Schizosaccharomyces pombe: one gene and its partners. The gene in region 2 interacts genetically with the main gene of each other region. Each region holds a gene or a part of one and is shown on either strand. Other genes may lie near its edges.

The links.
Region 1: mutations in cmk1 (region 2) and cbh1 together harm fitness more than expected from each alone (negative genetic interaction), as found in Schizosaccharomyces pombe (one large-scale study listed by BioGRID).
Region 3: mutations in cmk1 (region 2) and SPOM_SPBC1778.03C together harm fitness less than expected from each alone (positive genetic interaction), as found in Schizosaccharomyces pombe (one large-scale study listed by BioGRID).
Region 4: mutations in cmk1 (region 2) and ace2 together harm fitness less than expected from each alone (positive genetic interaction), as found in Schizosaccharomyces pombe (one large-scale study listed by BioGRID).

Annotation. Positions count from the first base shown.
Region 1 is NC_003424.3:4,457,590-4,464,083, forward strand, and holds cbh1 (CENP-B protein 1), read right to left. Parts: upstream 3,290-6,494; 5' UTR 3,181-3,289; coding exon 1,636-3,180; 3' UTR 1,331-1,635; downstream 1-1,330. Other genes in the region: pyridoxal reductase Plr1, read left to right, coding at 4,195-5,196; abc1 (ABC transmembrane transporter Abc1/Ybt1), read right to left, coding at 5,490-6,494. UniProt on the Schizosaccharomyces pombe protein: Binds to centromeric K-type repeat DNA and ARS3002 DNA. The CBH-binding consensus sequence is Py-Pu-A-T-A-T-Py-Pu-T-A.
Region 2 is NC_003424.3:1,736,063-1,742,463, reverse strand, and holds cmk1 (calcium/calmodulin-dependent protein kinase Cmk1), read left to right. Parts: upstream 1-3,163; 5' UTR 3,164-3,376; coding exon 3,377-3,540; exon of another isoform or gene 3,541-3,587; coding exon 3,588-3,642; exon of another isoform or gene 3,643-3,709; coding exon 3,710-3,800; exon of another isoform or gene 3,801-3,872; coding exon 3,873-4,203; intron 4,204-4,265; coding exon 4,266-4,632; 3' UTR 4,633-5,011; downstream 5,012-6,401. Other genes in the region: potassium ion/proton antiporter Kha1, read left to right, coding at 1-1,848; mdv1 (CCR4-Not complex subunit Caf4/Mdv1), read right to left, coding at 5,516-6,401. UniProt on the Schizosaccharomyces pombe protein: Important in cell cycle regulation.
Region 3 is NC_003423.3:3,100,143-3,106,144, reverse strand, and holds SPOM_SPBC1778.03C (NADH pyrophosphatase), read left to right. Parts: upstream 1-3,781; 5' UTR 3,782-3,979; coding exon 3,980-4,011; intron 4,012-4,191; coding exon 4,192-5,290; 3' UTR 5,291-5,502; downstream 5,503-6,002. Other genes in the region: guanyl-nucleotide exchange factor Lam2, read left to right, coding at 426-493, 615-1,029; Spo4-Spo6 kinase complex regulatory subunit Spo6, read right to left, coding at 1,294-1,398, 1,445-2,166, 2,213-2,345, 2,397-2,861; telomere-binding protein Rap1, read right to left, coding at 5,569-6,002. UniProt on the Schizosaccharomyces pombe protein: mRNA decapping enzyme that specifically removes the nicotinamide adenine dinucleotide (NAD) cap from a subset of mRNAs by hydrolyzing the diphosphate linkage to produce nicotinamide mononucleotide (NMN) and 5' monophosphate mRNA.
Region 4 is NC_003424.3:3,237,710-3,244,017, reverse strand, and holds ace2 (DNA-binding transcription factor Ace2), read left to right. Parts: upstream 1-2,864; 5' UTR 2,865-3,050; coding exon 3,051-4,652; 3' UTR 4,653-4,786; downstream 4,787-6,308. Other genes in the region: RNA-binding protein Nop9, read left to right, coding at 1-760; SPOM_SPAC6G9.01C (uncharacterized protein), read left to right, coding at 1,686-1,866, 2,265-2,363, 2,448-2,455; ubi3 (ubiquitin-40S ribosomal protein S31 fusion protein), read left to right, coding at 5,656-6,108. UniProt on the Schizosaccharomyces pombe protein: Regulates the transcription of genes required for cell separation.

The DNA of each region.
Region 1 (6,494 bases), 2.7 Mb from region 2:
GTATAAAGCATGCAACAAAGGAAAATGAAAGAAAGTATTGAATATGCGAAATGCGACGCTGATTAAGGAAGACTAGAATGAATTAAAAAATTTTTCTTGATATTGCTTTAGAAAATCTTTTTCGTTTCCATTTGTTGTTCTTTTTTTTGCATACATTTTTTTTTTCGGTGGCATTCATTTTATTCTTTTCGGTTTGTTTACCTAATCAAATTTTACTATTTGGAAGTGCTTCATCCACATTTTCAAGAGCTAATAAAATTTTTTTTTTTGCTTTCTTATTTCCCTTTTTTTATTTTTATTTTATTTCAATTATTAACTCTTCTCTTTTTTCCCTCTATCTGTTTCTTCTAACTAATCATCTTTGCTCTACATTCAAATCACTCAGTAATTTGTTCGCAAACATCGCAACTAAATTTGGAAATGAAATTCAAACTATTTTACTCATGGTCGCAGTGCCAATTTCCATTGTGCAACTTGTCAAGATAGCGAAGATCACTGAAATTTGTAAATTCAAACACATAAAACGCAAAACCGTGAGAACTATACACTCTTCCAATGTTTTAATTTTTTTGTTTCTCCAATTTACTTTTTTAATAACCCATATTATTACTCATCACATTATTGTATTGTTGTTTTAAGCATGCCATTTTTTCGTACTGGAGCGCGTTAAAGATCTGATAAGCAAAACTTTCAAGATTTAAGAAGATATGTATATATACTTTAAGATCACCATAGCTAGTGTGGATCATTCTAGTGTGTATTTTAAAAATGGCATATTCCATTTTGTTTACTCTACTTTCAAATTTTTTTTTTTTTAAAGTGGGTCATCACTACAGAAATTATTCAATGAAATATATCTTCTGTTTTGTAGCTCAATGAAAACTCATAATTATATAAACATATTTCCTTAAATTCCACACTCCAGTTGCCTCATATCCATAATGTGATTTTTTTATGTCTTGTTTTGGTAAAATCTCTGATTGTGTGTGGCTTTTTTACCTAGCTATTAAAATTAATGGTTCGGTTTTCAGATTCGGACTTAAAGTCATATCAAAACCCCTACCCATTTTTCTAGCATTTCCAATAGTGGTTTACCAGCGCAACAACTCAAACAGCATCTCACTCACAAAACCATATGATCATTCATCATCTATAGCATTTAAATTAAATTAAATTAAATTAAATTATTAAAGCATCATTGCTTAATGCTTTATTTTTCATTTGCGCGCTAACTGATTTTTATTTATTAATTGTTCTCACTGCTTCTCTATATCTCTGTCTTGCATACAACAAAGGAAAACACAATGTGACACAGTTTATACAAAAAAAATCATTAATAATTCATAATATCATTAGAATCCTATAAAATGTTTTGTTGTTCAGGTATATGTACACACACTAAGTGAATTTAAAAGAATATTAAACGAGAAGGGTTCAAAGCCGCCCGCCATAGTTAACCAAAAGTAAGCAGAAACATTAATCTCAATTAAAAAAAGTAATTTTGTACGAGTGTCGACTTTTGTTTCACTATATTTTTTTTTTGGAAATTTGTTTGCTTTGGAGATTGAAATCATCCAACGTGAAGCACTTATTGGGTTTAGTAAGACTCGCTCTCAATTTATTTCCGTAAGTGGATCACGCTATTAAATTATTAGGGGCAATCACTCTTTGTCTGCGGTACAAATCTAAAACAAACGAGGGATCCCCATTTTCGTGTTGCTCAAAATATTTTATTAAGACTTCAAAGGCCATGGCAGCCTCCACGTTTGATATTTGAGGCTCCACGTCTTCTTCCTCATCCGACTCAAAGCGTCTCTCCTCCAGAAACTCTGCAGCAACGGTATCCACAGCATCTTGATGTAATTTGGTTTCATCTTCTTCAGAAGGTCTAATGTATTCATTAATTTGCTTAACAGCTTCGCTGCCCTTGCTTGAAATCAGATTACCAATTTCCATAATGGCCTTTTGATACGACTCCATTCCTTGTCCTTCGGCCTCGGAATGTGGACCCAATAATCCTGATCGGAGAAAAGATGCTTGAATAGTCTTTTCACTCACCCCAAAATTCCAAGACCAAAGCATCCACCGAATGGCTTTTAAAACATTAACGGCTTTTAGAGGATCTCTCAATATGTTGATTTGATTAAGGGAGTATTGCAACCAGTATCTTCGATAATTCGCTTTAAATGTATCGACTATTCCTTGTTCAAACGGAGACTTAATGTCCAATGTTTTTTCTGGAATTCGAAATACAGAGGTGTTCTGAAAACCACCTTTAAACCGTCGAACACTTTCAACACCGAACTGATATGTGTCATTGCTCTCTAACATCAATAGGACCTTGCGTCCTTGCATACGTGTGTCAAACCACCGAAGCCATTCCTCCATAATAATTGGTGAAATTGAAGCTCGGCCATTCCACTTCCATTCGAAGTTCATACTTTTAGGGAAAATACCGCACTGCTCAAAAGATCTTGGGTTTTGTGCATAACCCACGATCCATAAAGGTAGTCGTTCTGACCCATCGGCATTGCAACACATAATTAAAGACACTTTGGCTTTTCCACGCTTCATTCCCTGGATTTCCTGATAATCCAAGTTTTGTTTATTAGGAGTGAGTTTCCAAAAAAGGCTTGTCCCTCCAACGCAAAATATATCTTTTTGGGCATAAGGCCGTATAAACTCTTGAATATGAACTGGGTATTCTCTAAACACCTCAAATTTGATGGATTCCAATGCCTGATTTACCGCACTTTGCTGGATATAATGTCTTCTTCTAAATTTATCCAACCAACCATTGCTAAAGTCTGGTAATGGGAGAGAAGCATACGCCGGAATTTTCGACCAAAATCGAGTAGCAGCTTGTTTGATCATATCCCCTGATATAGGAAGGCCTTCAACTTCTCTTTGTTGCAACCATTCGTACACGGCATTGTCAAGCAAAGGAAACTTTGGAGCTCGAATTTTTTTAATATCACCGAGTCTTACACTTCCATCATCTAAATAACTGTATTTGGGTGAAAGAATTTCGGAAATCGTTGACTGCGATAAATCTTTATTGTACGTTTTTCGAAACCATTCTGTCACTTCCTTTTGAGGAATTCTATGGGCAGATTGGTTATAATAATCTCGAATTGCCTTTTTCTCTGCTAAAGAGACGGCCTGGCGTATAGGAGGCATTGATTTTCCTTAATACTTACTATGCCGATACTTTTCCAGACCGATATAAGAGTATAGCCTTGGATTTATACAATTATTTTATGTTGTAGTAGATATCGGAAATAACGGTGAAAAGACGAATTCTATCCTTGTAGGGTTTAAGAAGGTGAGTACTACTAGTGCATCCTTCTGCCTTGCACCCTATATAATCTAAGTGCAATATACCGAACCTATTGTTAATCTGTAATAACAATGCCATTGGAGATGCTCAAATTATGACGTTCAGGTTAATATAGCAAATTTGCGTATCTTAACGATTTTGTCAGTAAGAAAAAGAGAATTCAAGAGCAAAAAATAGGAGAAAGAACGACATGAACGCTGTTAGAAACCGTTTAAAATCAATTCTCATATATGTTTTAAATGAGAGTCTAATTGAATACTTCCTCAAATTTCATTTCTGTAGCACACCTCTTCTCACTATTAAACAAAAATGTGTAAATAAATAAATGTTCCTTGGTATTGTAACAAAAATGGCGATTCTGAAGTTCATGAGCATTTTCCCTTCTCTTTCATTTAATAAATTCTCGAATTTTCAAATAACATAATATGTAAGTTCTCAGTTTTGGTGTAATTACTTTTAATTCCAATATTTCCATTCATAGTTCAATTCATAATACTTACTATCAAGTCTATTTCAATAATGTATGTTACACGTGTGATCCAATGTTTAAAAATGTAGAAGTAAATTTATAAAAGCAAAGCCAAAAATAAAGAACAAAGCTGTTTAAGCTAGTTACGGTACGAAGAGTAGGTGTTACTTACGTTTGATTCATTATTATTAACAGTAGAACTAATTAGTAAGCATCGTCTCAAAGAACCATTAGGAAATTCTTACAGCATACGGTACCGTTATCATATAAATAGCAAGCTTTGCATACCTAGCAGCTTAGTTTTTCCAATATTATTCGCTTAAAATTGAGAATACACATTTGATATTTACAGAGTTAAGCATTTTTAAATTAAAGTTGTGAAAAGATGCCTATCGTTAGCGGATTTAAAGTCGGACCTATTGGCTTTGGTCTTATGGGTTTAACCTGGAAGCCCAAGCAAACTCCAGATGAAGAAGCCTTTGAAGTAATGAATTATGCCTTATCCCAAGGCTCCAATTATTGGGATGCGGGTGAATTTTATGGTGTCGACCCTCCCACCTCTAATTTAGATTTATTAGCTAGATATTTTGAAAAATATCCCGAAAACGCTAATAAGGTGTTTTTATCTGTCAAAGGTGGTTTGGATTTTAAAACACTAGTTCCTGATGGAAATCCGGACTTCGTGTCAAAGAGTGTTGAAAATGTGATAGCTCATTTACGTGGGACCAAAAAGCTAGATCTCTTCCAATGTGCTCGAGTCGACCCAAATGTTCCCATTGAGACAACCATGAAGACATTGAAGGGGTTTGTGGACTCTGGAAAGATTTCATGTGTCGGCCTTAGCGAAGTTTCTGCTGAAACTATCAAACGTGCTCACGCTGTGGTCCCCATTGCTGCAGTCGAAGTCGAATACTCCTTGTTTTCTCGTGATATCGAGACAAACGGTATTATGGATATTTGTAGGAAGTTATCTATCCCTATTATTGCATACTCTCCTTTCTGTCGTGGCCTTTTGACTGGTCGCATTAAGACTGTCGAAGACCTTAAAGAATTTGCTAAATCTTTCCCATTCTTAGAATATTTGGACAGATTTAGCCCTGATGTTTTTGCTAAAAATCTTCCATTCCTCCAAGCTGTCGAGCAACTTGCTAAAAAGTTTGGTATGACTATGCCCGAGTTTTCACTTCTTTTTATAATGGCGTCTGGAAACGGTCTGGTCATTCCTATTCCTGGCTCCACATCTGTTTCTCGTACAAAGAGCAATCTCAATGCACTGAATAAATCTTTGTCTCCTGAACAATTTAAAGAGGCCAAAGAGGTCTTGAGTAAATACCCAATCTACGGGTTACGTTATAATGAACAGCTTGCGGGCACTCTTTCCGTTTAAAGTGCTGAAGTTAGTCGATACTCTTTCGCATTTCAGTTTTGAAATGCATATTAAATATAAACTTATTATATGCTAGCCTTACTTAGGTATTCAGTAATGACAATTTATTTACAGCGAAAATGTTAAATCATTTGTTTATAGAGTTTGGCTTGTTATTACCGATTTCTGCTCGATCTCGTTTAAATGTTTCTAGTATGCTCTAAAAAAAAAAGAAAAAAAGAAAATGATGGGTGCTCACGATCAGTTTAAAGCTGCTCTACAAATGGAATGTATTGAAAGTCAGCAAAAAATATTCAAAGACTAATATGACTTTCCTTGCACATTTTCCAAAACGCCCGTCGTTGAGTATATAGTGACTTGGGGGATCCGAATTCCACCGTTTTACCAGAATCCAATACTAAGACTTTATCATAATCTACAATTGTTTTAATTCGATGGGCAATGCACAAAACGGTAGCATGTTTAAATGCTGCACGAAGCATTTGCTGAATTCTTCGATCAGTAGTATCATCTACCGACGCTGTGCTCTCATCCAAAATAACAATACGAGATTTTCGGACTAACGCCCGTGCAAGGGCTAGAATTTGCCTTTGGCCGGAAGAAAAATTGACACCTCCTGAATCAACCGGTGTGTCAAGATGTATCGCAAAAGCGTCAAGAGAATTTTTGTTTGAAGCTTGCACTAAAGATTCACAGGAAGCAGTCTTAAGTATTTCATTTAGTTCTCCGTCTCCATACTCCTCAAAAGGATCAAGATTGCTTCGGACCGTACCGGATATTAGCACAGGATCCTGTGGAATTAAACTAATACGTTGACGAAGGACTTCCAAATCTAGAGAGTTGATATCAATGCCATCTACTTCAACCGCACCTGACATGATCATCGTAAAGCGAAGTAAAGTTAAACCCATTGTACTTTTACCACTTCCTGTTCGCCCAACAATAGCAATTTTCTCTTTGGGAAGTATTTCCAAGTTGATGTCTTCCAAAACCGCCGCTTGGCCAATTGAATAAGAGACTGTAAGATTTTTGATGCTGACATGCCCCAAAGTAGGCCATTCTTTATTCATAGGTTTCGTCAAACAAGAACTTTCGTTCTTTTCACTTGGTAAAAGCATATATTCATATAATCGGCGAAAGTTGTTTATGTATGTCAAAATTTCGTTGTTAGCCCTAACAAAAACGAGTACAGAGATGTTAAAACCAATGGCACTATTTAAAGAGAATCCGACGAGTCCAGGTGGTATGTTTTGTCTTAACAAAGCAATAAGACCAGTTGAAAACCCTACTAGGCCACT
Region 2 (6,401 bases):
CATCCAATTTTCGGTGGTTTTCTTGTCGGTACCATTATACCCCATGAAAACGATTTAACCGTTAAGATCACAGAAAAGATAGAAGATTTAGTAAATTGTTTGTTTCTACCACTTTACTTTGCTAGTTCAGGATTGAAGACAAATATTTCTACGCTTAACACTGGGAAAATATGGGGATACACGATTGGAACAATATGTGTTGCCATAGCTTCTAAAATGGGATCTAGTATGCTTGCTGCTCGGATTCTCAAAATGCCATGGTCGGATTCACTAGTCGTTGGATCGTTAATGTCATGTAAGGGCCTTGTTGAATTGATTGTTTTGAACATCGGTCTCTCAACTGGAATATTGAATGAAACAATTTTCTCCATGTTTGTGTTTATGGCTGTTATAACGACATTTGTCACCACCCCTATGACTAAATTCTTTCTGCGGTTCACTAAAAGTGAACATGATGACAATTCTATTGAAAGTTCCGAAGAGCTTGTGCAGTATCTTCCAGAATTGCCGACTCGACTCTCCTTTTTAATCAATCATCCATTGGATGCTTCTGCTGCTATGATATTTATACAACATATTTATGAGAACCGTGATAAAGTGAGTGGCTGTCTACATCTGCCTCAAATAATTATTCATAGTATTTGGACACTTTTTGTTGATTCTCGTACTTCAAATCTATTGAGGGCCTCACAGGTCGATAATAAGGTTGAAAATGAAGCACTAATGGGATTGTTTGAAACGTTTGTAAAAATAAAAAAATTTGAGTACGAAAGCAATGCCTTGCTAGTGAGTGGAACTGGTTATTACAATGTGGTTCTTGAGACGTTGAAGAAGTCTTCTTCAAACATTTTGATCATGCCCTATTTGAAGGATTATAAAACAATTGAGAATGAGAGCTCTTCTTCTCCTCTGTCTTTGAGTTCCATCCGCTTAGCTTTGGGTGATTCTTTTAAATCTTTGGATGAGTTGATTCCTTTAATAAAGATGGCCCGGATCCCAGTTGGAGTATTTTTCACACGTAATCCTCACAATTTATCAGTGAAAAAAATTAGGCCTATCATACGTAGTACTGAGTATGGTTCACCGAAGAATGATTTTGAACAATTAGAAAAGGACAAGAAGTCCTTTGATCAGGTTGAGATTAGTGTGAAAGAAAAAGGCTCTACATATGAAAGAAGCAAGGTTGTAATTCTCATATATTTGGGTACTGAAAATGATTTAATTGCATTGGAGCTTTTACTTAAGTTTTTGTATGAAGAGACGAGTATAGCCTATATTTACACATATGATGAATTCTATAAAGATGATTATGCGACGTCATTGCCTAATGTCGTTTACACAAGTGAAGTGCTGTTAAGCAAGCATAATGACTCAGCTTTTAAGGTATGGCCGAAACTTCGAAAAAACATTCGAAAAATAACTAAGCCAAACGGATTTACAACAGACCAGCATTCTCAGACCTTTATTCCTTCTCAAACACATACGAAACTCGATTTGAGATTATCTGATGTAACAGATAGTGTTCGGTCGAGGATTAATGTAGTAAAATTTGGAAATTTAAACTCACTTTTGAGTTGTCTTCATGAACTTATTCAACCTGCAACCTTGACCCCTTCTTTCGAGACAGAAAAGAGTATAACCATGTTTTTAGGCTGTAGGGATAAACAAGCTGTGAGCGAAAAACTTGAGGTGGCTGCACTGTCGGAGATGAAGAAATTGGGTTACATTGAGTCTAGCTCAGAATTTGGTATGCTTGCAGGTTTAATTCCGTTAGTGCTGTTGAGCAATTTTCCATTAATAGATTTCTTTTTAGGGAAGGCACCTACAAAGATGGTTCAAGGTTATTGATTAATTTCAGGTTTTTATTGCATCCATCTCATAATTTATTTTTAATTAATGATTTAAATGGTTTTCATAATTTATTTGGAATCCAAAGGATCGACTATATTATTTTCAATGTTAGAATTAATGCATTCATCTCTATTCGTTATTCGCAATGTAGAAAACTTGTTTTATACCTTAATAAGAAGAAGTTACTTAGGGTTCTTCTAGTTTTTGGCTATATCGCGATTTATCAAAAAGTGTTATTTAAGAGTTGAATAGTTTACATTGTAGACTCATCTTCCTTCAAAAACCCATGTGAGTTTAAACCCTTATTGGTTTCGTCTGTTTAAACCGATACTTTGAATTTATATCATAGCAAGGGTAAAGTACTGTAGAACAAATGGAGTCAAGCATGCATGCGCATTTTTTACTATTTACTTCTTCAACATTATCTCCAATACATTTCGACTAACTATCATACAAGAAGCATATGAGAAATTAACATACCATACTCACTGCTATTGTAAAATGTATGGTATTCCTTTCAGAAGGTAGTTCGGTTCTTTCTCAAATAACTAAATACCTCTTCCAAGATGGAAAAGATTATAAAAGTAATCATTCAAAATCGATTTTATTAGCTCAATTTACACTCAGTCTGTTTTTCACAATTTTTGTTACAGTATGAATCTTTGTTACGTGGTTACCTTTTCGTATTCTGTTCTATGTTGTTAATACGCTTACTGTATTTAAACAAACTAAAATGCATGGGATAGCGCATTATTACGGTATACGTTAGTGACCAATATTCGCCATGATGGCTTGTTATATCTACTTAACTCTCATGAGCTGGTAATATCAGCGAAATTTCAAGCAGTTCGCGTTTTGCCAATTGCTCATAAAACTGCGATTTTTTAAGGATTGTATAATTAAATTCAATTCTTTAAATAATTGTGTTGCATTGTTACAGTGTTTGGTGGTTTCAATACGCTAATTGTAATTTTGATCTTTCTGATCTTGTTTTCTCTTAGAAGAGGAAAATAGGTACGGAAATTACTGAACCGATTGGGAATTACCAGGATTTATGACTATACTGCAGACTACTGGTTTTGCAATTGCAAATCAGTTGGACGGTATTTATCAGACGCTGGTTTTCTTGTTATCTTCATCAATACTATTCGGGTACATTCAATATCAATATCCTGTTAAATCCGAGGATTTCAATATACCTTTTCCAAATTTTTCCATATTTACAAGTTGAGGCTAAGCACTTATTGTCATAAGTTGGTGGACAGTCATTGCGCTGCTTAGATCATTCTGTTATTGAACCACCGTTTAACTCAACAGCCTGCTTCGCGCAAATAATATTTTCTTTATTGTTTCTACGGGATTTTTTTCATTTACATACCTTTACATTTTTGGTTTCATAAAAGAATTCTGTAGTACAGAATTGTTTATGGCACCATCTAACAATACAATAATTTACATTAAGAGAAACCTTTTACGTTTACCTTCGTTGGCATTGGAATAATTCATCTATTGATTCTTTACAGCTATGCAGCAAACATACAAACCAAACACCTCGGCCTTGAAAGACGGTGCTCCAAAGGCTACGGTGGATCAGAAACAACTATTACCTTGCAAATATCGTGTCGGTCGGGTTTTGGGAGGCGGAACATATGCGACGGTTCGTGAAGCCGTTCATATCGAAACTAACAAGTAAGTATATTTTAAATTCGAGTTGTTTGCTGACCAAATTTTCATAGAATGTATGCGGCTAAGATTATGAATAAAAAGATGATGGAGAAGAAACAAGACTTTGTAAGTAAAGACTTAAGTACTTACAGCATCCTTATTTACGTTTACTAACATGTTTTTGGTGGTATAGGTGAAGAATGAAATTGCAATTCTAAAACGTGTTTCTTATGAACATCCTAATATCTTACACTTGGTTGATTTTTTTGAAACTGTGAATAATCGTATGTCTCCGATTTCGATTTGATGAATCAAATGTTATTGTGATGTGTTTTGTTCACTAACCCTTGAAACAGTGTACTTAATCACTGAACTGGCCACCGGTGGTGAACTTTTTGATAGAATATGTGCCAAAGGTTCATTTTATGAGGCCGATGCTGCTGCTTTAATGCGTACTACCACATCAGCAGTTAAGTACTTGCATGACAATGGAATTGTACATCGAGATTTGAAGCCAGAAAATTTACTTTATCGCTCTAAAGATCCGAATTCAGATTTGTTAATTGCCGATTTTGGATTGTCCCACTTTTATGAGGATTCTCAATACTATATGCTCATGACGGCATGTGGGACACCAGAGTACATGGCACCCGAAGTCTTTCGTCGAACCGGATATGGAAAACCTGTGTAAGTTGATCAACTACCATTTTAATTCAGAAGTTATGTATCTTGACTAATACTGTTTATAGAGATATGTGGGCTATTGGCGTTATAACTTATTTTTTACTCAGTGGTTATACTCCATTTGCTCGACCTTCTCAGGTTGAAGTTATAGAAGCAATTTTAGCTAACGAGTACACTTTTAACGATCCTTGCTGGTCTGGCATTTCAGAAACGGCCAAGGACTTTATTAAAAAATGTTTGGAAAACGACCCTTCGAAACGTTTAACTGCTGCTGATGCGTTGAAGCACCCCTTCCTGTCTGAAAAGCGTCCCGCAACCTCCAATTTGCTTCCAAACGTCCGGGAAAATTTCAATGCAAGAAAAACGTTCCGTACTGCCTATAACGCTGTACGTGCTTTCAACACTTGGAAAAAGCTTGAGAATAAGCATTAATTATACACATCTTTTCTTATAACTTTCTTATTTTATCTTGTTATGACTTATGACTTCTTTATTATCTTTTGCCCTCAGTACATACTTTTTTGGTATTAACACTCTTACATGTTAAATATATTCTTTGTGATTTGGAATGCTTGGACCTATCATGTTCTCTACTTAGTTTTTAAAATAGCCTCATACAAAATGCTAAAAGTTATGTCGATGTTTTAAAAAGTAACGCTACCAGTTTTCTGACATTGTTAGACTGTTGACGACAGATGAACGCAGTTGTTTAATTCTCTATATATATTGCAGATGTAAAATTTTGAAATTTTAGCATTTATGACTATTTATGCTTCAAAAATAAAATGACCATTCAGTTAATCTGAAATATAAAAAGAGCTTGGTTATTTCCATATTTTACTCACTGTGTGAGTTCAAATTGCTAATTTCAAAAAGATTCTTCAATACTTATTATGTGTAGTTGACATTAAACACGCTGAGCGTGTTTTGTAAACTGGATCAACAAAATGAAATACAACATCTCAGATCAGAATGAGGTTGCGTACTTCATACTAGTAAAACCAAAAAAATGTAAACTAGAAAAGATTTTTATTTACTAAATTTTAAACCTACAGTATAAGAAGCAGAAGGGAGGTGGTGATCAAACAATTTGCTTTGAGAATTTTTTTAAATATTTTGAACAAAATTAACATCACAGTTTTTTATTCGCAATGTCTCGTTCCTTTTTATTTGTCCATAAATAAATAAAAAAACCAAACAGAAGTTAATACCCATTAACCAAAGCATAAAGACATAAAATTTTAAAATTAACGTTATCCAGATTCAACACAATAACGAGAGTATAATAAATAAAGGTGTGGATAAAAAATACAAATTAAGCAGAAAAAACGCTAACAGATCCATCAGACTTTCCATCCACCAAAAAGCGATCTTTATATTGAACAGAAGTAGGTACTGAGTTAGGTTCGGCTGCTATGGAATCAGAGTGAGAAGGAATTGAACAAATCCAGTTCCGATTAGATACAGTATCAAATATCCTAACATTTGGTTCATCAGATGCTACAGCAAGACGACCTTGATACAGTCTTAAGGAATTCACTTTTTTCTCCATAGGTATAATATTAATTGGCGAGCCACTTCGTAAATCCCATATTCTAACAGAATTGTCATAGCTTCCGGAATACAAATGGTTGGAATCGAATTGCAAAGAAGAAATAGGAGCTGTGTGCCCAATGAAACTTCTCACAGGAAGACCGATTCGCAAATCCCAGATGCGAATAAGTCCATCGACAGTCCCACTAGCCACAGCAGCATCTAAGCAGTCTAAAGCTCTGATGAAAGGTTCTTGTTTGTAAGTGTCACTGACCAAAATTTGACTAGTAGATGTATCATGAGTTTCCGCCCACACAAAGTCCAAAGTTTGAATACAACGCCCCGTAACGATATCCCACTGTCGAACAGTTTTATCATCGGCACCGGTTATAAGCACATCATCACTAGATAATGCTAATGCAGTGACAGGGGCAGTGTGAGATGTTAAAACATTTGTGGCATTGTCAACAGGTTGATCGGGAGGAGAATTAAGGCTCTCTTCAACAGGATTATCCTTATGAAGTACATCATTATCTAAATTCCATAACCGCACGGTTGTATCCATAGAGCCAGTAGCAATAAAGGAGTCTTGAATCGCCAGACAAGAAACATAATCAGAATGACCTTTCAATGAACCCAGGTATACAACACCCGCCATATCCCAAACT
Region 3 (6,002 bases), on a different chromosome or scaffold from region 2:
TTGCGTATCACTATATGTCATATGTTGGAATACTAGCTAAGATCCGTTTATTGATAATCACGGGTAACTATCCTTCTATATACATAGATACCCGTTGATAACAACTATTTAGAAATATTATAAATAGCGTTACAACTGAACCTCGTTCCTCAGTTCAGTTATGAGCTATATTAGTGATAGGTAACATTATAACCCAGTTAATACAATACCTATACTCAGTTGCTACTTATACAACCTGTGTATTGTAATATAATAGACCACAAGGAAAACTCACCGCAGTTCTACGTATCCTTAAATCAGATACCAAACTGCGTAGCTTACAAACTACTTATAACCACCATTCAAAACAGGTTAAATCGTTATTGCCGATTGGACTTTAAAATACATATTGCTACCTTTACTGCTATCTAAGTTTAAATTCGAAGATGATTAAGCCAAAGAAGTTGTCGTCGTTGATGAAACAGGCAGTTGAGGAAACTGTACCGTCTATCATGTAAGCATTTAGTGAATTTGAAGTTCATTCTTACTTCAAATCCAGTGGGTACACCTGTACTATTTTGGAGCTTAGATATATAAGTTTATTGTTGAAATATTCTGAGGTATTAACAAACTAGGGTTTTTACCACTACTGGCTCGCTGCTAGCTTATGTTTCTTTTGAAGATCCTAAAGATGGTTTAAAACGTCTGGATTTAGCTAAAAGGGTTAGATCTATTGCGGCTTTAGCAGGCAACATGTATTCACTTTATACTGCAACCAACCCTAGCCCTTTGGTCGCGGAGTCTACAGACGACGTGATTGCTCATCAAAGAGATGTACTTTTTGAAACAATAATTGAGTTTGAAAGGGGGAAATTATTAATAGCCGCCATTTCAATTGATGGGGCTGAAGATAAACTTTACTCCAAAGACCCATTATTATTAGGGATTGTTGGAACAGAAAACGCAAAGGAAGGAATGATGCAAATCAAATCTGAACTTTTGAAAGAGTGTATCACCAATGAGCTTTCCACGCTTGGAAAACCAGTCTAACTTATTTTAAATCTATTTTGATTTAAACTCGATAATGTTTGGAGCTTTACTTGCATTGTTTGTTACAATCATAGGCTTAAGCCTGACCTTGGTTTAAGAAAAGAATGCTACAACACATCATTATATTGTTAATTTTCTCTTCCCTTTTAGCAGATTATTTTGAATTTTTCATTTGGACAAAGGATATATTGATTTTACGGTTTATTTGAATGTTTGAACTTGCTTTCTGGAATTTTTGAGACATCCTTAAAACTTGAACTAACGTTAATTTGTCCGAATTGGGCGTCGGATTAGCAAAAACAAATCATCTAAACCCTGGAAATTTTCATCTTTCTCTGCAAATCTTCTATGATGTTTTCCGCCCAAATGCTATCGATGTGTTAGTGCTGTTTTTGCTATGATTGGTTTAACTTACCCTTTCCAAGTCCTTGTATCTCTCACAGCAGTTTTCACAATATCCTGATTTTGTTTCGATTTTCACCTTCTTGTGAGCTAGAGGATCTGCATCGAAGGCATTAGGTGGTTGTCGAGGACTTTGGTTAGCCAAGGTGTTTTGTTTGTTTATTAAACGAGGTTCAAGAAGGTTAAGTGGAGACATTGCGGCGCGTTTCTCTACCGGTAAGAGGTTTTCTGGCTTTGGAAACTCTGTCGGCATTTGTTTTGCACCATCAACTGCTGATTCTGTGATATTATAGTCCCCCATGATTTGACGCACCAACACACTCGCTGAATTTTTAACAACGTTATTTTGGTTAGTTTGATTAGTGCAACTTAAGAGCTGTTTTCTGATTTCGTGAGCTGGATGGTTATGTTTTGTGATTTTTAACTCCCTTCTTCTACCAGTATTAAATGGACATCTTCCTTGTGCGGTTATAGCAAGACTTGGCCATAAGATCTCTCCAGAATCCAATGTTTTCTCCCATTCTCGTACTGCAATTGGCTTATAGTATTGTGATAAATCTCTAATGCAGAGGAAGTATTCACGAAAGTACTCGACGTTTTTGCTTGGCACGTAAAAGTCTTTGTCTGATGTACCATACACTTTTTCACCGTCTAGGAGAGATTGCAAGCACGAAGCTGAGGTATTAACCAGGCTATCAGAGTTGAGTAATGTAAAGAGGATTCTGTTCAATAGTTCTAAGAAAGTTAGCGAAGGTTACACTGATATATTAAGAAGACTTACTGTCCAGGAGCCAAATTTTCATATTGGCAGTTTTCGAAAGGTAAAGTACATCATTCGGCTGGCACATTTCTGGGTCGGTAGTCCTGGTGGTAATGAAATGTGTAACTTCAAAAGTAAATAATGTTGCTACTTTCTATATATGTGTTAGTTTTGATCTGCGCAAGTTCTTGCATGAACTACTTACGGCTCCAAGATTATTAATCTTTTGCGTAACACGACGCTTGATTTCCTCATCAACGTTGTCAAAGTAAAATATAAAGTTGGGAAACGCCAATCGATAATCTCTTTGCCAGTAACGAAGTTTGGAAACTCGAATGCTGGTTCTTGGTATATCCTTGTTTCGCGTTAGGGAAGGTTTTACACAGTAGTTTGAAAAAGCAGTGGGTGGGAGAGCCATCTTTGCTGTGGCTTTAGCAGAGTCAAAGGCATTTTGATGAGGCATGTGCGTTTGTTGTTGAGGGTACCAGTCGGAGCATGAAGTTGCGCAAGCTGCAGTTTGACACAGTTCTTTGTCCGAAGTTTCTGTTTTATAGCTAAGAGGATTTTGAATATCTCTCTTTACTTCTTCGTTTATATTTTGTATACTGGGATTTTGGTCGACTAGAGGAGATCGAACAAACGGCTGAGACTTCACTGAATAGAAGTCCATACTCTTCCGGATTGACTCGGAAAGATTTTTAGGAAGAAGAAGTATGTATATATATTCCTTGGGAGGCTGATGAATTCACCTGTTGGTTAATCCTACTTATGTCTGGCTTTAATATTCAGCAATGGCCTCGGTAAGCAAGATGCAGGTTTTCCTCTAGAAGTAAAAAGATAAACCTATCTTTTTTTCTGTGGAAGTTTGGAGGAGTATCCTGGATATATATACAATTTGATTTTGTTTGTTTACTCAAATATTTTCTCATATTCACCTAGTATTGTTTGTAAACAAAAGCCTCGCCTCGCGTATTAAGCCAGTAAATTAAACGCGCGACACGTCGCGTTGCGTATCACATTCATACTAAATAAATAAGCTACTTTGGCTCCATTTGATAGTTTTGCTGGGTTCCTTTGTAAAAATTTTTTTAGTATTCATATGATTAGAAAATATATATTTACTTGATTCAAGCTTGTAAAATAAACATAGACCCAATTTTAAATAAATAGGTACCTAAAAGTCTAGGTAACATTGTTACACTGACACGTGAGAACTTTGTAGTTAATTAATCGTCAACATAACGAAAACAACTCAAAGCAATTCCCGTAACTGTCCATTTAGGAATTAACCAAAAAAACAAACAAACAAAATCTATTTTTATTCCAATGATACTTTTATGACTCACCAAGGCGTTAATAATTGCGAAAACACATACCAATATGTTTACAATTATTTTTTTAACGAAATTCGTTAAATACTTCATGGCATTTGAGAAGTTGTATGGCAATCGTATTTAACGGAGACTTTTTCATATTCAGTATCCCTTTTCATTTGGAACTTTAAGGTTTTCCCAGCTGAGAGTTCGTTTACATCATTTTATTAGATTTTTACTTGCAACTTGGGTTCGACTTTTAGTTCACTCATAAATTGTACCATTACCATTACGCTGGTGCATAAATAACCCTCCTTCTGGTCCTCTCTGTTCTTCATTTCCATCTTTCATTTTCTATTCTGCGTATTTTAACAGTTAAACAATTGTAGAATTTATTCGAGAGATTTGCAAAATTCTGTTTTAATAATTGGTTAGGTTTAATATTCTTTTCGTCTTTCAGAAATCAAGTTTAAGTATGCAGGGTTTCAAAATAGCTCGACATTTTGAGTAAGTAGTTAATTGTTAGTTCTATTTAAAGCTACTTCAAACTTGATAATTCATATCATCTGTTTTGCATGCTCATGGAACGTACCGCTCAACCCTTGCTAATACATGTGCAATGTAACACATAAAATCAATTTTTGATATAATAATCTTAAAAAAATGAGTTTTCTAACGTTTTTCAAGGCTTCCGACTGCCCCTTCTCAGTTCTTCGCAGGAAGCTCATTAAATAGGCTTTCGTTTCTTAGGTCTAATCGAGAATTTTTAAATAAAGCCTTTTATGATCATACCACTCGCTTTCTTCCTTTTTGTGACTTAAATCCGGCTCTACTCGTAAAGGACGATAAATTGGTCACTCTTTCATATCCTCAGATATCCAAATATTTCACGTTCTCCCCTTTTGAGCACACTGATAAACAAATTGCTGAACGATTTTCCAAAGGAGAAAGTTTACCTGTCCTTGTCTACATGGGCAACGAAGAAAGAAATGGACCAACAGATAATTGGAGTCAACACAACGTTTTTGCCATTGACATTACTGGCATCGATGAACTTCAGCAATCGATACGAGACAATGGAGGTACTTTCGTTAATCTTCGCTCTATCTTCACCGAACAATATCAATTGAGCGCATCGGATTCTGGTGCTTGTGCTTTTGCACGCTCTATTCTTGACTGGATTTCAAGGTACAGATTTTGCCCGGGTTGTGGAAAACGCAACATACCTACTATGGGCGGTACAAAATTGGTCTGCAGTGACGTTTTATTGAACGACGACTCAAACTGTCCTTCAAAGAAGGGTATTAATAATTACCAGTATCCTCGGACAGATCCATGCGTAATAATGGTTATATTGTCTCATGATATGCAACACATTTTACTTGGAAGAGCTTTGCGCCATCCGAAAGGACTGTATGCATGTCTGGCAGGCTTTCTGGAGCCAGGGGAAAGCTTGGAAGAGGCCGTTGTCCGTGAAACCTATGAAGAATCTGGAGTTGACGTAGAAAAGGTTTTATATTATGCTAGTCAACCCTGGCCTTTTCCTCAAAGTTTAATGTTGGCTTGTTTTGGAATTGCCCGAAAAAATGCTAAAATCCAGAGAGATAAAGACTTAGAATTAGAGGATGTGCGTTTTTTTTCCCGAGAGGAAGTTCTTCGTTCTTTGGAATGGGATGCCAAGGATGGACCTGCTCCAATTTTATTTCCCCCTAAACTATCCATCGCTAGAAATTTGATCCAAGCATTTGCATATGATGATTGGACAAATTCACAAGTTAAAATGTAAAGGAAGTTATAAAAATGGAAGTTTAGCTACTTTTCCAAAGATAATAAGTGAATTTTCTAAAAAGGTTGATTTACTCTGCTACATCAAAGCAAATATAATCGGCTCATCAGAATTGAAATATTCACACCTACTAAATCCAGAAACAAAAAGAATTTTGTTAAGTTCAATATAAAATATTTATATAATAAAATCATGAATTATGCATAAAAAGATTCGTAATATTGTACAAGTTTAGGTCTCTTTAGAGAAATAGAATTTGGGCAGAGATGCTCGGCAATTTAAGAAGTTTGTTTTGAAAGTAGTTTAGCAATGGCAATTCGTACTCTTCCACCCGTAGATTCCATAGCTTCAAGGAATTGTTGTTCTGTTGAATTTGTGTACCTTAAAATATTGTCGATCGCTTCATCAACCTCACGGTGATTTACTGACGACCTTAAAATAGAAACTTCATTTTGTAATTCATGCATTGCTAAGTTAATAAATTTTCCTTTCTCTTCACTGGGTACATGACCTGCAGGTAATGTAGTTACTTTTTCATTATTATCTGACGGTATGATTATAGTCGGACCGGTATGAGCTTCTTCGTTAACCATTCTGTATTTTTTCTGCTTTTTGGTAACCGGTTGCTGCATGTTCTCTTCCACTTTCTTATGAGAAGCTGCATTTCCTTCTAACGAAGTGTGAGCGACTTTTGTGGCACCAAAGCTTTCTG
Region 4 (6,308 bases), 1.5 Mb from region 2:
AAGGACATTACTTGAGAAGAGTAACCATTTACATTGTTATCAAGATGACATATTTTCAATGATTCAGACAAGCGTAACAAATAGTGGAAAGGATGCCAACATTATTCCATGCTTGCTCCGATCGAAGCATAAACGTGATAAAGCCAACCCAGAAAACAAAGAGCGTAAACTTGTTAATAATTTACTGGGTGCTCAACTGTTAGAAGAAATGCTTCACTGTGAGAAACAACATATTCAGTTATTATTAGATAGCGTTTTAGATCTCTCAAAAGAGCAGATTTTGGAATATTGTCTGGAAACAGTATCCTCTCACTTGATAGAAGGAATTCTTGATTTATCAGACTTAAACCCGGTATTTCTTAAAAAATTTCTCAATATCCTTTCCGGATCATTTGCTACATTAGCTGTTTCTGCTCCTGGTTCGCATATTGTAGATAAAGCGTGGAAGGCCACAAGGGCATTGCCGCTTTATCGTACAAGAATTGTTCGTGAGTTGGCTGAAGGTGGTGACGACGTCAAATTTGATTTCTATGGCAAAAAAGTTTGCTCAAACTGGAAGGTCGAGCTTTTTCGTCGAGCTCCTGATGAATGGTATCGTTTCATGAAACAGGATGAACCATCTAAGCGTGTTCATGAACGTGCACGCCAGTATGGTCGTATTGTTTCTGGCAGTTCAGCCAATACTCAGCCTTTGGGGGAGAAGCGCAGCACTGAAAATGATGAAGAGCTTGAGTCCGGTCCTAAAAGAGTGAAAGTCTGAAGGAGAAAAGGTTTCCATTGGTTAAATTGAAATGCACGGCATTTTTACGTCTCGCCAATTTAAGCATGGCATTTTGTTGGTCAAAAAAAAGTTATGTTTTTAATTTAGGTAATATAGGTATTTAATTTTGTTGCGGTTTGCTATGTATAGAGGCGCTTTTGCAGAGTAAGGAAGTAAACTTTGTAAAAGGAATTGTATTTCTAATTATGAATTGATCAACTGAAGAAGAGGTTTCGAATTTTTTGAATTGTTCTACCACTAATAATTTGTGTTTTGTATATTTGTATTCAAATGTTTTGCCTTATTTCTCTAAGGTGGTTTCTAGGCTGAAAAAGAATTGACAGAGGTTTTGAGCTGATTTTCATTGTCAAATAGTATTCACTTTATTTTTATCTTATGCTTAATTACTAAAGTATTTCGTTTATTAAGCAATGAGATTTTGCATTTGTTAATTTGATACAGCAATAATTCGCTTCTTAAATGAAGACAAAAAGTGTTAATTTATGGTATTAGGATAGAGTTGACCTAAATATGCTTTTATAAAGAAAGCTTGGCCAAAGAATTGTCTACATTTTATTGCCGTTTCGAAATACCGATGACAGAGGTGATACAGCTTCTAAACAAAATTAAACAATTTTAAACATAATAAAGAACCAAAGGAAAAAAAAGGAATCGATCAATCTCATGCCTTAATGCTGGTACAAGTTTCTTCTGAAGAATCATTCTTATAAATATTACAAATTCTTTACCGTAATACGAGAGAATACGTTATGCAGATTTAAGCATTTTAGAGAATTCTTATTTTATGAAGCACGGTACCGCAAAAGAATTTCTAGCAAGTTTGCAAGCTACAACAAACTGTCTCTCTACTCAATTATACAATTGCCATTGACTTGGCAAACTCCTCTCTACGAGTATTTAAAAGATGGAAATCGACGACATTTTTGCTTCTAAAAAGGCAAACCCTGCAAATGAAAAGTCAAATGACTCAAAGTCGGAGGCGAAAGCCCCTAAGAAAGGAGCCAAGACAAAATCTACTCCAAGTCGTCCAAAACCTACTAATAACCAAGACGATTTATTTTTAGATCCAAAGGGAGCCTCAGGAAGTAAGACACTTTTTGCCGTTTGATAGTTCATCCTTACATACGTTCTCGCTACTTGGTTAATGATTGCATTCGTTCATGTTTGGCATCCGCGTTGTTTGTCAATTCTTTGACCTCAAATTCATATTTATTGTCTAAAAGATTGAGAAACTTCGAACTGTGCTATATACTTATTTATTTATTATATACTGCTAGAGCTAGATTACGTTTTTCTAGGGAGATACATTTCACAATGATGTTTAGTGTTGGTGGAGACTCCAAATCATTAAGCTCTATTGTGTGGTATTGAACCTTATTCGCTATTCTGTTTACGGGAATGTTTGCCGAACGATGCAATACTTACCTAGCAACGGCACTTTTCTCCTTATCATCAGTAATTGTATTAACGTTTTGTGTTTTAGGAAAGCGTACCGAGGAAGGGTTTCTTGTATATGACGAGGAGGAATTAAACATTGGCCAAGGTGGAGGTACACCGGATTGCCCTTTTGATTGTCAGTGTTGTAAGTAACTTATTCATTGCATTTAAAAACTTTTCCATGGCATTTTTTCTCTTGCTAGCTCTATACTAATACTAATACCTTAAGGTTTTTGATCTCAACGTCGTTGTCGTTTTTTCAGGTTGGTTACCGTTTTTTTTTGGCTTGTCATACTTAATCTATGTTTTCTAATATCATCCATGATCCAGTTGTTGAAGCGTAGACATTTTCATAGCCGTGATTATCCTGTTTATTAGTGGTAGTGTCTTTCAATCAAACCTTTTACTGGTTTAATTCAAAAAATAGTTGATTTGTCCCTTTGGCAACAAAAGGTAAATAAACAATCCCTGGGTCTGTGTTTACACTTGTATTGCGTTGTTGTGATATGGTTCGGTAATCCATGCAATGTAAACAAATAGTGACTTGTTTTGCGGTAAAGTGAAGCATAAAATTCAACAATTGTCGTCATAGCAACGGAGTAGCTATTTGATATAAACAAATAGCCAGCGCACCAAACATTGCTGTAACAAACAAAAAAAAATCGAAGAGTGATTAGTTCAATCATCTACTGGGTTAGACTGGCTTTGAGCCACACTTTCATCTCACTTCAAGTTATCAAGCACTCTTTTCAAGAGTCATTTCTCTCATCGTTCTCTCCTTGATTTCTCTACGCATTGCACTAGATACTCGCTATCCTAAGTAAACAAGACAATGTCGCTTTCATATTTATCATCTTCTTCGCAAAAGTCGTTTGAATCATTTCGACAAGAAGAGAGTCCAGCTTGTAATCATTCGTACCAAAGGGATTATGAAACTTTTGGCGATAGCAAGCATACTTCTTTTTCCTCCTTCGCTCCCTTTGAAAATGAGGTGTCTTTAAATCAAGCTGTTATCCCTTCACCGCCTTCTCATCTTCAGAACTTTCAAGATCAGTTTGACTATAGTTCTGTTCTAAAAACACCGTTTAACCCTTTGTTGGAAGCGAATTCTGCATACTTTTTATCGAACCAAATATCGCTCCCCGACTCTCACTCGTATGCATCCTCCTTTGATGCTTCCTTATCACCCCCTTCCTCGCCTTTAACTTGCGTATCACAAATCCATACCGAGCAAAATTTTAATAACAATGACGCATTTTCCTTGACCAACTCTCAACAGGCCTTTTCCGAAATTGGTTATGATGCATCAAATTGGATTGATGAGCTGGACTCTCAACAACAAGTCCTTTCGTTTCCTGAGTTTGACATACCAGAAATAAAGACGGAAACTTGCTCCAACAAAGATCACCTCGAAAATTTCGACTACCTTTCCTCAAGTATACCTGAAACCTCGGGTCCTGCCTCTTCCGTTCTTCCCAGCTCTTCGCAATTGGAATCATTTAATGAGTTTATGTTCCTCCCATCCTCTCCCCCTGGATTAGATGAGATAAACGGTGCGCCTTCATTTGAAGAATTGAACTTTCAAATATCCCAACCAAGTCCGGCACATCCTGTAGACTTATCGAGTCCAGAGACTGCACCTAATATCTCCCCTGTATCCCCATTTGCCCAACTTGTAAAGCTAGAGCCCACTTCGCCTCAAAAGCCCTCCTTTGCTCTAGATTCTTCGTTTTCCCATTTGGATGTATGCAGGCATACTGACAACCAGAAAGCGTTTGCAAAGTTATCATCACCTGCTGAATACGTTTCTGAATTTGAAAAATTCTCATCCGTTTGCGATCATGGACTTGACATATCGAACGCAAATATCAACAACACTTTGACACAGCAGTTTGCATTAAGTGCACCTTATGAATCTTGCATAGTTACCAAGAAACCTGAACCTTGTATCACTGTCAAGGAAGAAGAACAATTAGCTCCAAAAATTGAATCTGCTGATTTATCAATTACTCCTCAAGTCACCGAGCATGATTCCAAACCTCCGGTCAGAATTTCATACGATCATAGATGCAAAACTCGCAAGCAATCAACTAGGATTTGTAGAATTCCTCCGGAGACAATGGCTAGCTTATATTGCGGCCCTGAAGCAGATGGAAAGTACGTCTGTTTGTACAACGGGTGCAATAAACGTATTGCTCGCAAATATAATGTTGAATCGCATATTCAAACACATCTGAGCGACCGTCCGTATCGCTGTGACTTATGCAAAGCTGGCTTTGTTCGTCACCACGATCTTAAGCGTCATCTGAGGATTCACGAAAATGGCAGGCCATATGTATGTGAATGCTTAAAGAGATTTAACCGACTTGATGCCTTAAATCGGCATAAGCAGAGAAATATATGTGTTGGCGGCGTAGATCGCAGACAGCACTAATGATGACAGCTGTACAACTTGCATCGCATTGCATTATAATGAGTTATGTTTGGTTTTTTTTTGGGATTTTTTAATTTTACTAATATTATTGTTTTTAATTTGCTTTTATATAAATTCAAATTCAAGCATCGTACATGAACTAATGCTGTGACAATTTTGATAATTTATCAACTTGTATCTGTCTTTTGTATATTTATTCATCACCCTAGTATTGTGTATAACTCTGCATCATCTAAAATCTACAGATTAATCTTTGTGAAATGGAAATACAACTATGAAGTTGTTCGTATCGTTGAACGGCTGAAATGGTAAAACTAGTTTCCCCAAACCTGACAAACAACTTGGATACATGAGTAAGAATTAGTGTTTGCTTTCACTCGCACCGATGTTTAGTCAACATATGTTTAAGTTGGTATTTCTAGGGAAAACTTGTATTTAATTACTATAGTATGCGAAGTATTTCATTGGAAAACAGTGGTTGTAGTATGCTGCCAAGCAAGCATTTATTATGATAATAATAATTCAACAAATTAATCACTATGACTTAAACAGAGAAACCAATGATTGTTTTAACTATTATTGCTGGTCATTGGAGGAAATTTTGTCGGCAAGAGAAAAGATAATTCATTTCTATTTGCAAAGAACCAAAAAATACGAAAACTCGTCGTAGCTTATGCAAACACAAAATCACAGGTTTACAAGCCTTTACTACACTAAATCACCATATATGAATCATTCAATAGGATATAATTGACATCAATTAGTGACAAACTGTCGATATTAATACAAGGGAATCAGGATTTTCATTTCAGCATTACGATTTTAAAAATTGTGAGAAATGTTAAATTGTGTTATATAATTAACGCAAACGTTAATTCTCAGTACGAGAAACTTGCGTTACACCCTAACCTACGTGAGTTAAAACCAGTCACGCATCCATATATCACAATGCAACATCAATATTTTCCTCCATCCGCGAGGAAGAGGCAATACTTTGCTGACGATGCAGATCTTTGTAAAAACCCTTACGGGTAAGACCATTACCCTTGAGGTTGAATCCTCTGACACTATTGACAATGTCAAGAGCAAAATCCAAGATAAGGAAGGAATTCCTCCTGATCAACAACGTTTGATCTTTGCTGGCAAGCAACTCGAGGACGGACGTACTTTGTCTGATTATAACATCCAAAAGGAGTCCACTCTTCACCTCGTTTTGCGTCTTCGTGGTGGTGGTAAGAAGCGTAAAAAGAAGACTTACACTACTCCCAAGAAGATCAAGCACAAGCACAAGAAGGTTGAGCTCGCCGTCCTCAAATACTACAAGGTTGAGGATGATGGAAGCGTTAAGCGTCTTCGTCGTGAGTGTCCCAACTGTGGTGCGTCCACCTTCATGGCCAACCACAAGGACCGCCTTTACTGTGGTAGATGCCATTTGACTCTTAAGTTGGAAAACTAAACTTGAATGAAATAGTATTTTCTACTGTGGTCTAGACATATCATCATGAGCAGTAATTGTAGAATATTAAGATTGAAATAAGCTGTAAAACTTTTAAAAATAATTTTATAAGTAGATGCATGAGACTATAAATTGTTCAAAATGAGTATAGATTCATCACTTGGTTCAGTGATCGTTTTGAATAGTACCTGAGCACATTA